Arabidopsis thaliana: one gene and its partner. The protein of the gene in region 1 interacts with the protein of each later gene in a pairwise test. Each region holds a gene or a part of one and is shown in the gene's direction. Other genes may lie near its edges. The genes, in order: SNRK2.2 and ABF1.

Region 1 (5,344 bases):
TGGTAGGAAATTTTGACCTAAATCTGTGTTGATCAATTTTAGGTTCTTTCTCAAAACGCATTTTACAAGTAGGGAATAGAATTTGAAGAAGCATTGTGTTTAGGTTAAAAACTGAATCTCTCTATTCATCTTCCTTTTTTATTTTCATATAAATACCGATTTGATTTCATTTTATATCCATTCTTTATCTCTATTAATATATAGGGTTTAGAAATCAGGTGATATTCGCTTGATTAGATTCATCTTCTTATTATGCATTGAGGTTTGTGTTTTCATCTTCACACCTTCTCTAACATATTTGAGTGCAGTACAACGCAATCCACGATTTTGATTGGCTATTCTGATTACTATATTATTTAGAAACCTTAATCTCTTTACTGTTTAGAATTCACATAAAAATTCGTAGGTTGTGATTTTTTTTTTTCAGTTCGTGTATAGACCTAGGCATACGATTTTCCCTTTTGTTTTTGTTTTTTTCATGTTTCGGATTTTCGTGTTTAAGAAAAAGATTCTGTAAATATGTTTGTTTGATTCAGTTTAAAAGGAAAAAATTACATCATGTATTTCGATATATCCTATATTTAAATGTATTTTGTATATATTCTAGAAATGATCAAAAATGTACAATTACATTTTCTTTCTTTCTTTCACAGATTATGATGTTTCATCAAATGGACAAAATATCGACACCATGCGCGGCATGCAAGCACCTGAGGAGAAAATGCACAGAAGATTGTGTGTTTGCGCCTTACTTCCCCTCGACTAAACTGGACAACTACGAAGCGGTTCACAAGGTATTTGGAGCAAGCCATGTGGCTACACTTATCAACAGTCTTCACCCATGCCAAAGAGAATTTGCCATGGACACGCTCGCTTGGGAGGCACAAGTTCAAGCCAATGATCCGGTCAATGGCTGTCTGGGTATCATTTACAACCTCCTTAGTCAGATTAAAGACTTGGAAGAACAACTCGCGATCGTCAAGAACGAACTTGCCTCTTACTGTATCGTCCCCACATTTGTGCCACCACCTTCGATGACGAATCTGGAAATGCATAACAATCCTATGATGATACCGGAACACACACCTAATAACGGTGGTTGTTTAACGGGTCAACAGTTGTATAACGAGGCTCAACGTTTTGCATCCACACAAAGCGCTCAAATGCAAGAGACGCAGATGCAGCACGATGAGGAGAGTTACCGTGACAAAAGTTCTTATCAAAAATTTGGACCATGCTTTAACCTACATTAATCATTATCATATTGAATCTTGATAACAATGGTAAGCTTTTAAAATCTTTTTAAGTCTTGTCTAGTCGTTTGTATAACTACATTAAGATATAAATACAATTATTGTTTTTAGTTAACAAAACATCCGTTATCGTCCAGCGGTTAGGATATCTGGCTTTCACCCAGGAGACCCGGGTTCGATTCCCGGTAACGGAGCTTTTTTTGGTTTTTAAGATTCGAAAAAGTACTTTTTGCCTCATCACTATCTTTACGTTAATAAACTCAGCGGCAGTTCAAGCCGTAAACCTTAACATTTCTAATCAGGATCCTTAGTCAATTTGATTATTTCTTTTACAAATACTCCAACATTCAACAAGGACCTTGTGTAGAACTACACTCTGCCATAACAAAATAATAAAGGTGCACTTGTAGTTATGTACAAACGACTAGACAAGAGTTATAAAATTAGAAAAAGGTTAATGTAACATTGCTGTGTACGTGAAAACGTCTTATATGATCTATAAGAAGCTTTTTTTTGTTCGTGACAAAAACAATTTCTGACTTGGCTCAAAATACGACCACAATCACCCACATAAAGTTGGGATATTTTGGAAGTAAACAAGTACAAGTGAAGGTAAAACAATACATATATACATGAGACATTCACATAATTAATTTAAGAAAGACATAACAATTTACTCACCTCACAATTCGTACTCATTCAATTACAAATTTTAGGAGCAACCAAATTGTGTTGATAATATAGAACAGTAAAATTAATATTGATACCTAAAAAAACCAAAAAAAAAAATATTTGAAAAAAAAAAAAAAAAAATCACCAAAACGCGGCGGCCTTTGTCGTATCAAATCAGATAACTAAAACAAAGAAAACGGTGTCGTTGCAAACATCTCTCTCCTCTTATCTAACTTAGAGAGCGACCAATAATTGCCTTTGTCTTTCTCATTCGTCGTTGATCCATCTTTTTCCCCCAAATTCATATCCTTCCTTAGATATTTTTCTCCTTCTTCTTCTTCTAGATTCCAGCTACTCCAGAAGATTCTTCGACTTAATCTGATGTGATTAGGAAGAGCAATAGAGGAAGAGAAGAATCAGAAAAAATGGATCCGGCGACTAATTCACCGATTATGCCGATTGATTTACCGATTATGCACGACAGTGATCGTTACGACTTCGTTAAAGATATTGGCTCTGGTAATTTCGGCGTTGCTCGTCTCATGACCGATAGAGTCACCAAGGAGCTTGTTGCTGTTAAATACATCGAGAGAGGAGAAAAGGTTTCGTCTTTTTTTTTTTGAATGAAAAAAAGATTTGATATTTATAGGCTTTAGTGATTGATTGATGATCGATTATTTTTAGTTTCCAGATTTAGTAGCTTTCCTTTTTAGAGCTTGTTGATCTAGTGTCTTTAATGGTGGTTACTTACTGTTACTATGATTAAATGCTTTTGAAAAGTTTTGATATTTCTCAATAAATGATGATACTTTTTTTTATGGTTGTTTTGCAGATTGATGAAAATGTTCAGAGGGAGATTATCAATCATAGATCATTGAGACATCCTAATATTGTTAGGTTTAAAGAGGTATAATATAATACACCTTGATGTTTCTTCTGTGTGTGTTTGTGTATTAAGTCAGTGTGGTTTAGAGTTTGTTTTGTGTGTGTTTTTGTAATGGTTTAGGTGATTTTGACGCCTTCCCATTTGGCTATTGTTATGGAATATGCTGCTGGTGGAGAACTTTATGAGCGGATTTGTAATGCCGGACGGTTTAGTGAAGATGAGGTTTGGATTCTGATTTATCGTACTGTGTTGTGGTATTGATGTGTGACTACTGATCTTTAAGTTTTTTTATGTATAGGCTCGGTTCTTCTTTCAGCAGCTTATATCTGGAGTTAGCTATTGTCATGCAATGGTACGCAGAGCAGTGTTCTTGCAACTTACTTGAACTTTTCTCGTTCTCGTGTATACCACTCTGGTTTTAATTCTGTGTTTGATTTTCCTGTGAAGCAAATATGCCATCGGGATCTGAAGCTGGAAAATACATTGTTAGATGGAAGTCCGGCACCTCGTTTGAAAATATGTGATTTTGGTTATTCCAAGGTACTATTTATTTCTCTCAAGGTTTGTTTTCTGAATTCTAAGTTTATATATGCTACTGTATGGCCAAGCGCAGAACAGCGGGGGACATCTTGTGATTCCTCGTTGTGCTTCTTATCGTTCATGCTCTTTACCTACATGTGTTTCCTACTAAGTGTCTGTTTTCGCTTTGATTTCTGCTCAAGTATTAACTATGCGTTTCTTTTCTTCAGTCTTCTGTTCTTCATTCCCAACCAAAGTCAACTGTTGGTACTCCTGCATACATTGCACCAGAGATTCTTCTTCGACAGGAATATGATGGCAAGGTAAGGCCATGAGACCAATTCCTCTGTCTAGAGTTCAAACCAGCTTATCCATATGACTGTTTATACCACAAATATTCTTTGAGTTGTCCTCTGAAATAGCTGGTGTTACATTTTTCCAGCTTGCAGATGTATGGTCTTGCGGTGTAACATTATATGTAATGTTGGTTGGAGCTTATCCATTCGAGGATCCACAGGAGCCACGAGATTATCGAAAGACAATACAAGTAATGTTTTTCAATTGTTCTTGCTGTCTCATTCATCATCATTCACAAACTCATTATCTTTCAAACGTTGATTGTATATGTTTGCTTCTCCACTGATTTTAAAACGCAGAGAATCCTTAGTGTCACATACTCGATCCCAGAGGACTTACACCTCTCACCAGAATGTCGCCATCTAATATCGAGGATCTTCGTGGCTGATCCGGCAACAGTAAGTTTTACATTTCAAAGAAAACTTTGTTCTTTGAGTTCTAAATAGACAAACTGAGAGATCCAATGTGGCAGAGAATCACTATTCCGGAGATCACATCCGATAAATGGTTCTTGAAGAATCTACCAGGTGATTTGATGGATGAGAACCGAATGGGAAGTCAGTTTCAAGAGCCTGAGCAGCCAATGCAGAGCCTTGACACGATTATGCAGATAATATCGGAGGCTACGATTCCGACTGTTCGTAATCGTTGCCTCGATGATTTCATGGCGGATAATCTTGATCTAGACGATGACATGGATGACTTTGATTCCGAATCTGAGATTGATGTTGACAGTAGTGGAGAGATAGTTTATGCTCTCTGAGATTCCTGAGGACAAAGTCTGTTTTGTCCGTACTGTTGAGACACACCACTGGAGTTTTGTCTTAGCTCCACGCACTCCATCGTTCATTTTTGGATCGTTTGTTGTTTTTTACTCTACAAGCTTTGGATTCACATACATATATATGTATTGTAATGTAATATGTAATATATTCTATGTATTTCTCTTTGTTTAATAACTATTGGCACATTTTATACAAATGATATGGTACTAGAAAAAGAAATGTAACTAACCCACAAGGTTCTGAGATGGAGCTTAGCTTGAGTCTTGGTTAAGAATGTTATGATCTATGTTTCACACGACACACGATTTCATGTATAGTGTTATTCGACATCGTGATGGAGGACATGGCTTATGATCATCAGCTTTGATCATGCCGCTAGACATTTGATTAAGATTTGCAATTAGTAAAACTTAAACTGTCTATATTGATGAAAAGATTTAGCATTTTATGATACCATAATGTAGATTTGTGTGTGGATGAAAAATTTGTATAAATATTTTCTACCCTAGATTATGTAAAAGACATGTTTTCTGTGGAGAATGCTTGGTAATGCAATGTCTATTGACTATTGGCAACGACTATTGGCATTACGATAATTCATCAAGGAATCATTACTACTTCTCTCCAATTCATGATCAACTTTTGACACATGACAAAAATCTTCTTCTGTAAAAAAAAAGCTAAAGAGAAGATATTTATGTTACAAAAACTATGTTAATATGATTCGAAAAGTTAAAATAAGGAGAACAAAGAAATGTAACTAATAGTTAAACTTTTAGAGGATTTTTCTGATTTAAAATTAGAACATGTTAAATTTGCATAGGATAAGAATAACAATTTACCTTTTTCGTGCAGTAAGAAACATGTGAATA
Region 2 (5,326 bases), on another chromosome or scaffold:
TCAAGTAATATGACAAAATTACAAAAACAATTTATGTTTCGAATTACTTCAAAACGTTCACATTAATAGTATTATTACAATACTTAGTTTGTATCTTGCCATTGTTGATGAATTGACTCTATGATTTTGATGGAGAAAAATATTAGGATTTTAGTTTATGGATAAACTTTTTTTGAAAAAAAACACAACCCGAATCTCAAAAATAGTTTTGTCAAAAATCTTGAGAAAAACGATGAGATTCGGGTTCAGATTTTTTCAAAAATAGTTTTATTCGTGAAAGATTTAAATTCGAGCGGAGATTGTTCCGCCCACTTTAAAAAATATTTTATTTTCTCTAAATAATTTTAAAATAAAATAATTATAATAAAAATGAAAATTTGAAATTTTTAGACACCATAAACTAATATGTTAATAAAATTATTTTATCCAAAATTAGAAAATTAATGTCATATAATCTAAAAAATTAATAGTTAATTGAGATGATAAGGGTAAAATTAAAATTTTATTTTTGTTGTCAGATCGTGAGTATGAAAATAACAATATTTAATTGTTTGAATATTTAAATTGCACAGTTTTATTATTTCATGTATTTTTCATGTATTTTTCTTCTTAGAAAAAACAATTGGGTATTAAACGTTTAAATAAAAATTAGTTAAGGTTTTTTTTTGGATTTTTACCCATTAGAAAACTCTTCCTTTTCATTTATTTTTACTTCTAGTAGTAGAGGTAATTTTTCTTTTTTGATTAACAAAGTCGTGAGGTTTGTTAGTAGAGACTAGAAAGTTGTTGAATGGGTAATTGATATGTTTTGCTCCACAAGAAAGCGGAAGTTTTTAAAAAAAAAGAAACAAAATTAGCATTACAATACCAATGATTACATATGTAAACAATATTTCCCGGAATTAGCTCGTATGAATCTAAATTAATATTGACAAAAAAAAAAATACCAATGATCACATATATGACAAAAAGAAAGAATGAAGGAGAACTCTATCATGGTTTGATGCTCATTCTATACGCTGGCCCAACGGTGACACGAAAGTAGACAATTCTTTTAAATAAGTTATCAAATTATAAAGAAGTAGAAATCATCAACATACCATTTACCAAGTGAGGAGAGGGCAAAATTTCCAAATTTGGAAGTGAATTGTATTAAACTCGACGCAAATCTTCTTAAAAGTCTTCTTCTTTTGGGTTGCTTGGATATAATGATTATTGCTTGATGTCAAAATTCGCACACCATTGGGATGATGGGACCCAAAAAGAATCACTACCCACTTCTGCCGTTGTTTCAACATCATTCATGTATAATAATCACAGTTTATCAAGCACACAAAATATCTTACATGAGTAACAACAATATGATATTAAAATTAATTTGGCACATAATTTAATCATTTGGTGTTCCGACCGACATGATACTATACTATAATTTTATTCCCATTTCATTTCTTATTTTTTTATATGCATAGAAAATTATTTAAATGCAAAATAAAATTTTAACCAAAAACCTCTAGTCTAGTAGTTTGTTCGATTGTATATAGAGTATTTTGTCATGTGCATAGATTACCACCATCTACGAACATTGTTGTGGTTTGATTTTCTCTTTGATCGCGGTAAACACCAACAATATATGACTAGACATTCATAAACTTCAGATGAGTTAGGATTTGATTTTTTAGAATTTTGGTTTTGAAAAAAAATTAGCCAACTAAAAATCAAACAAAAATTTACTGCGGTTCATAAGTAAAAAAAAAATCAATTTCCTTTTTAGTAATTTTCTTGGAGTCGAATTGAAGTAAAATTGTGCAGTTTACAACACAGAATTCGATATTTAAAAAATTTCTGTTGGCGAATTAAAATTGAAATACTATAATTATCCAAACTTTCTTCGGTTAGTTAATTAAGATCAGAAATAATGTCTAAATGGCAAGGTTAATATGGATATTTGTATCAGATCTAATCCCATTTTTAAAGAAAACAAACAAGGCAAAGGACACAATCAGCGACTAAAGCTCTCACACGTTACAGCTTCTTATTGGTTAAAAATGAACGTGGTTGTCAGCTAAATTAAGTGACTATGTTTAATAATCATTAAAACGGGATATTTATTAGTTTATTACCAAAAAATGAAAGCAAAATATCTAAACAATAAATAAAATAAAAAACCATAAGAGGAAAAAGCTTAACCCCTTAAAATGGCAGTTCGTGTCGAAGCTACTACAAACACACTTGTCGTCTCTTCTCTCTCTCGCAGCTCTTCTCTATTTTCAGCAATCGCCTATAATATTAGGTAAAGCTTCCTTCTTTTTGTTTATCCGTTTTCGTTTTCTTTTCTTCTCGAATCTGTCTTTGTCTTATCACATCCCCTGAAGTGTTATACTTTTTTTTTTTTTGGGTCCGATTCATAATATCTGTTTTGTCTTTTTTTTGGTTCTATGTTCTAAATCAAGTAGTAGTAGTAATGAAGTAACTATTCCTAAAGAAATTAAAGGATAAGACTTTTTTGTTTTTCTTCTTGAGGGTTTGTGTGATCTTGCTTTTACTCCAGAATCTTTTATAGATCTATCTTTTAGATACATTCAAGAATGGTCAAAGTTATGGATTTTGATCCAATCTTATATTTCTCTCTGAATCCAAGGATCCAATTTATACTCTCTGTATCACACACTTCTATGTATATGTTTGTGATTGATTGCTTCTGGCTAAAACTTTATAAAGTTTTGACATTTATATGAACGTTCCTGCCTTTTGCTTTTGGTCTTCTTTGCTTGCTCTTATGCAAGTATACTTAAAAGCACTATGTGACACATAGTTGTGTGGTGTGTTATACTCCTAAACCAGTTTCAATTTTCTGGTCTTGTTCTCTCTTAGGTAAAGCTAAAAGGGTCTGATTCGTTTGTTTTTTCACTGAAGAATTTGGAAGGAAGTGATTCCGTTGTGAAACAGAAAAGAAGTATGGGTACTCACATTGATATCAACAACTTAGGCGGCGATACTTCTAGAGGGAATGAGTCAAAGCCATTGGCGAGGCAGTCTTCGTTATATTCCTTAACGTTTGATGAGCTTCAGAGCACATTAGGTGAGCCGGGGAAAGATTTTGGGTCTATGAATATGGATGAGTTACTCAAGAACATATGGACTGCTGAGGATACTCAAGCCTTTATGACTACTACATCTTCGGTTGCAGCCCCGGGACCTAGTGGTTTTGTTCCGGGAGGAAATGGTTTACAGAGGCAAGGCTCCTTGACCTTGCCTAGAACGCTTAGTCAGAAGACTGTCGATGAAGTCTGGAAATACCTGAATTCGAAAGAAGGTAGTAATGGGAATACTGGAACGGATGCGCTTGAGAGGCAACAGACTTTAGGGGAAATGACTCTGGAAGATTTCTTACTCCGTGCTGGCGTTGTTAAAGAAGATAATACTCAGCAGAACGAAAACAGTAGTAGCGGGTTTTATGCTAACAACGGTGCTGCTGGTTTGGAGTTTGGATTTGGTCAGCCGAATCAAAACAGCATATCGTTCAACGGGAACAATAGTTCTATGATCATGAATCAAGCACCTGGTTTAGGCCTCAAAGTTGGTGGAACCATGCAGCAGCAGCAGCAGCCACATCAGCAGCAGTTGCAGCAGCCACATCAGAGACTGCCTCCAACTATCTTTCCAAAACAAGCGAATGTAACATTTGCGGCGCCTGTAAATATGGTCAACAGGGGTTTATTTGAGACTAGCGCAGATGGTCCAGCCAACAGTAATATGGGAGGAGCAGGGGGTACTGTTACAGCTACTTCTCCTGGGACGAGCAGTGCAGAAAACAATACTTGGTCATCACCAGTTCCTTACGTGTTTGGTCGGGGAAGAAGAAGCAATACGGGCCTGGAGAAGGTTGTTGAGAGAAGGCAAAAGAGAATGATCAAGAATCGGGAATCCGCTGCTAGATCAAGGGCTCGAAAACAGGTAAAGTTACCGTTTTGTTCTCAAAAACTTTGATATCAATATCATCTAACCAAACTGCCATTACCGTTTTCTTTTCAAGAACTTTGAAATCATTTTGATGTTTTGGCTAAACCTCAGGCTTATACCTTGGAACTGGAAGCTGAGATTGAAAGTCTCAAGCTAGTGAATCAAGATTTGCAGAAGAAACAGGTTTTTTTCTTCTACCATTTTTATTGCTTCTCCATAGAGAGTCTAGCTGGCTCAGTTATTTAACTGCGGTCTCTCTATGTTGCAGGCTGAAATAATGAAAACCCATAATAGTGAGGTAATAACGTTTTTCCTCTACTTATGTATATTTCATGTATACACCATCATTGTCTCTACATTACCAGACATTTTGTGTCTGTCTAAATGTAGCTCTATTGTCATTTTGATGACACACAGTTCACTGATACTAGTACTTGAATTTGCAGCTAAAGGAATTTTCGAAGCAGCCTCCATTGCTGGCCAAAAGACAATGCTTGAGAAGAACCCTTACCGGTCCGTGGTAAGAAGGTGAAGTCAAAGCAAGAAGAACCTGCTAATGTAATACAGGACCACTCAAAAGGAAGACACTGGGAGAGTAATATGTAATAGAAGATAGTGCTACTGTACAGGAGAAATTACAGAGACGCTTACAATGTAGAAATCTTTTGAGCTGAATTTAACTAAGAGTGCAGTCTGTGTAGAGTATGAGAGCTTTCAATATGAATTCATAATTTTCATAAACATATGTAAAACTTTCAGATTTAGCTATAGAGAAGATGTGACTAACTCAGAAAGAAAATCCGTTAATTGGAGAGTGAGGTAAACTCCGGCTGTAATGTGACCTGGAAGTAGTACTAGACGATGGACCAAAGATCCGGGAATCACCTCTTTGAATTCTCAAATTGCTTCTCTTCCTACTATCCCAGCCTATCTCTTCTTCAACCGCTTTAGCAAATGCGCTATGCACCGGATCACAGCTTTCACACAACAGCCTCAAGACTTGCTTAATTGATGGCCTAGACCGGCCTTCTTTCTCGGTACACAATCTCACAACCGTCACAACTGCATCAAGTTGTTTTCCTCCAGCATCATTAATAGAGTCTTTGATTCTCGGGTCTACCAACTCGAGGTGTTTTGATTTCGCCAACAAAAACCGCTGAGACATTTCCACAAGGTTCCTACCTTCATCAACTGCTCTTCTCCCGGTTATGAGCTCCAGCAACACAACTCCGTAGCTGTACACATCACTCTTCTCTGTCAACTCTTGCGTTACTACATATTCCGGATCTACATAACCTGAAAAAACTTCAAGTTTTTAAAACTCAGCTTCCATCAAAAGTAGTCAAGTTATTCTGTTCAGTAT

The links.
Region 2: the proteins of SNRK2.2 (region 1) and ABF1 interact in a two-hybrid assay, tested with the Arabidopsis thaliana proteins (one study listed by BioGRID).

The regions. Positions count from the first base shown.
Region 1 is NC_003074.8:18,740,911-18,746,254, reverse strand, and holds SNRK2.2 (SNF1-related protein kinase 2.2), read left to right. Parts: upstream 1-2,097; 5' UTR 2,098-2,350; coding exon 2,351-2,527; intron 2,528-2,757; coding exon 2,758-2,832; intron 2,833-2,931; coding exon 2,932-3,033; intron 3,034-3,109; coding exon 3,110-3,163; intron 3,164-3,258; coding exon 3,259-3,372; intron 3,373-3,560; coding exon 3,561-3,653; intron 3,654-3,772; coding exon 3,773-3,877; intron 3,878-3,986; coding exon 3,987-4,085; intron 4,086-4,159; coding exon 4,160-4,450; 3' UTR 4,451-4,661; downstream 4,662-5,344. Other genes in the region: LBD28 (LOB domain-containing protein 28), read left to right, coding at 657-1,253. UniProt on the Arabidopsis thaliana protein: Together with SRK2I, key component and activator of the abscisic acid (ABA) signaling pathway that regulates numerous ABA responses, such as seed germination, Pro accumulation, root growth inhibition, dormancy and seedling growth, and, to a lesser extent, stomatal closure.
Region 2 is NC_003070.9:18,397,868-18,403,193, forward strand, and holds ABF1 (abscisic acid responsive element-binding factor 1), read left to right. Parts: upstream 1-2,138; 5' UTR 2,139-2,293; intron 2,294-2,319; exon of another isoform or gene 2,320-2,916; 5' UTR 2,917-2,958; coding exon 2,959-3,957; intron 3,958-4,074; coding exon 4,075-4,146; intron 4,147-4,231; coding exon 4,232-4,286; intron 4,287-4,409; coding exon 4,410-4,495; 3' UTR 4,496-4,750; downstream 4,751-5,326. Other genes in the region: AT1G49730 (Protein kinase superfamily protein), read right to left, coding at 4,751-5,259. UniProt on the Arabidopsis thaliana protein: Binds to the ABA-responsive element (ABRE). Could participate in abscisic acid-regulated gene expression.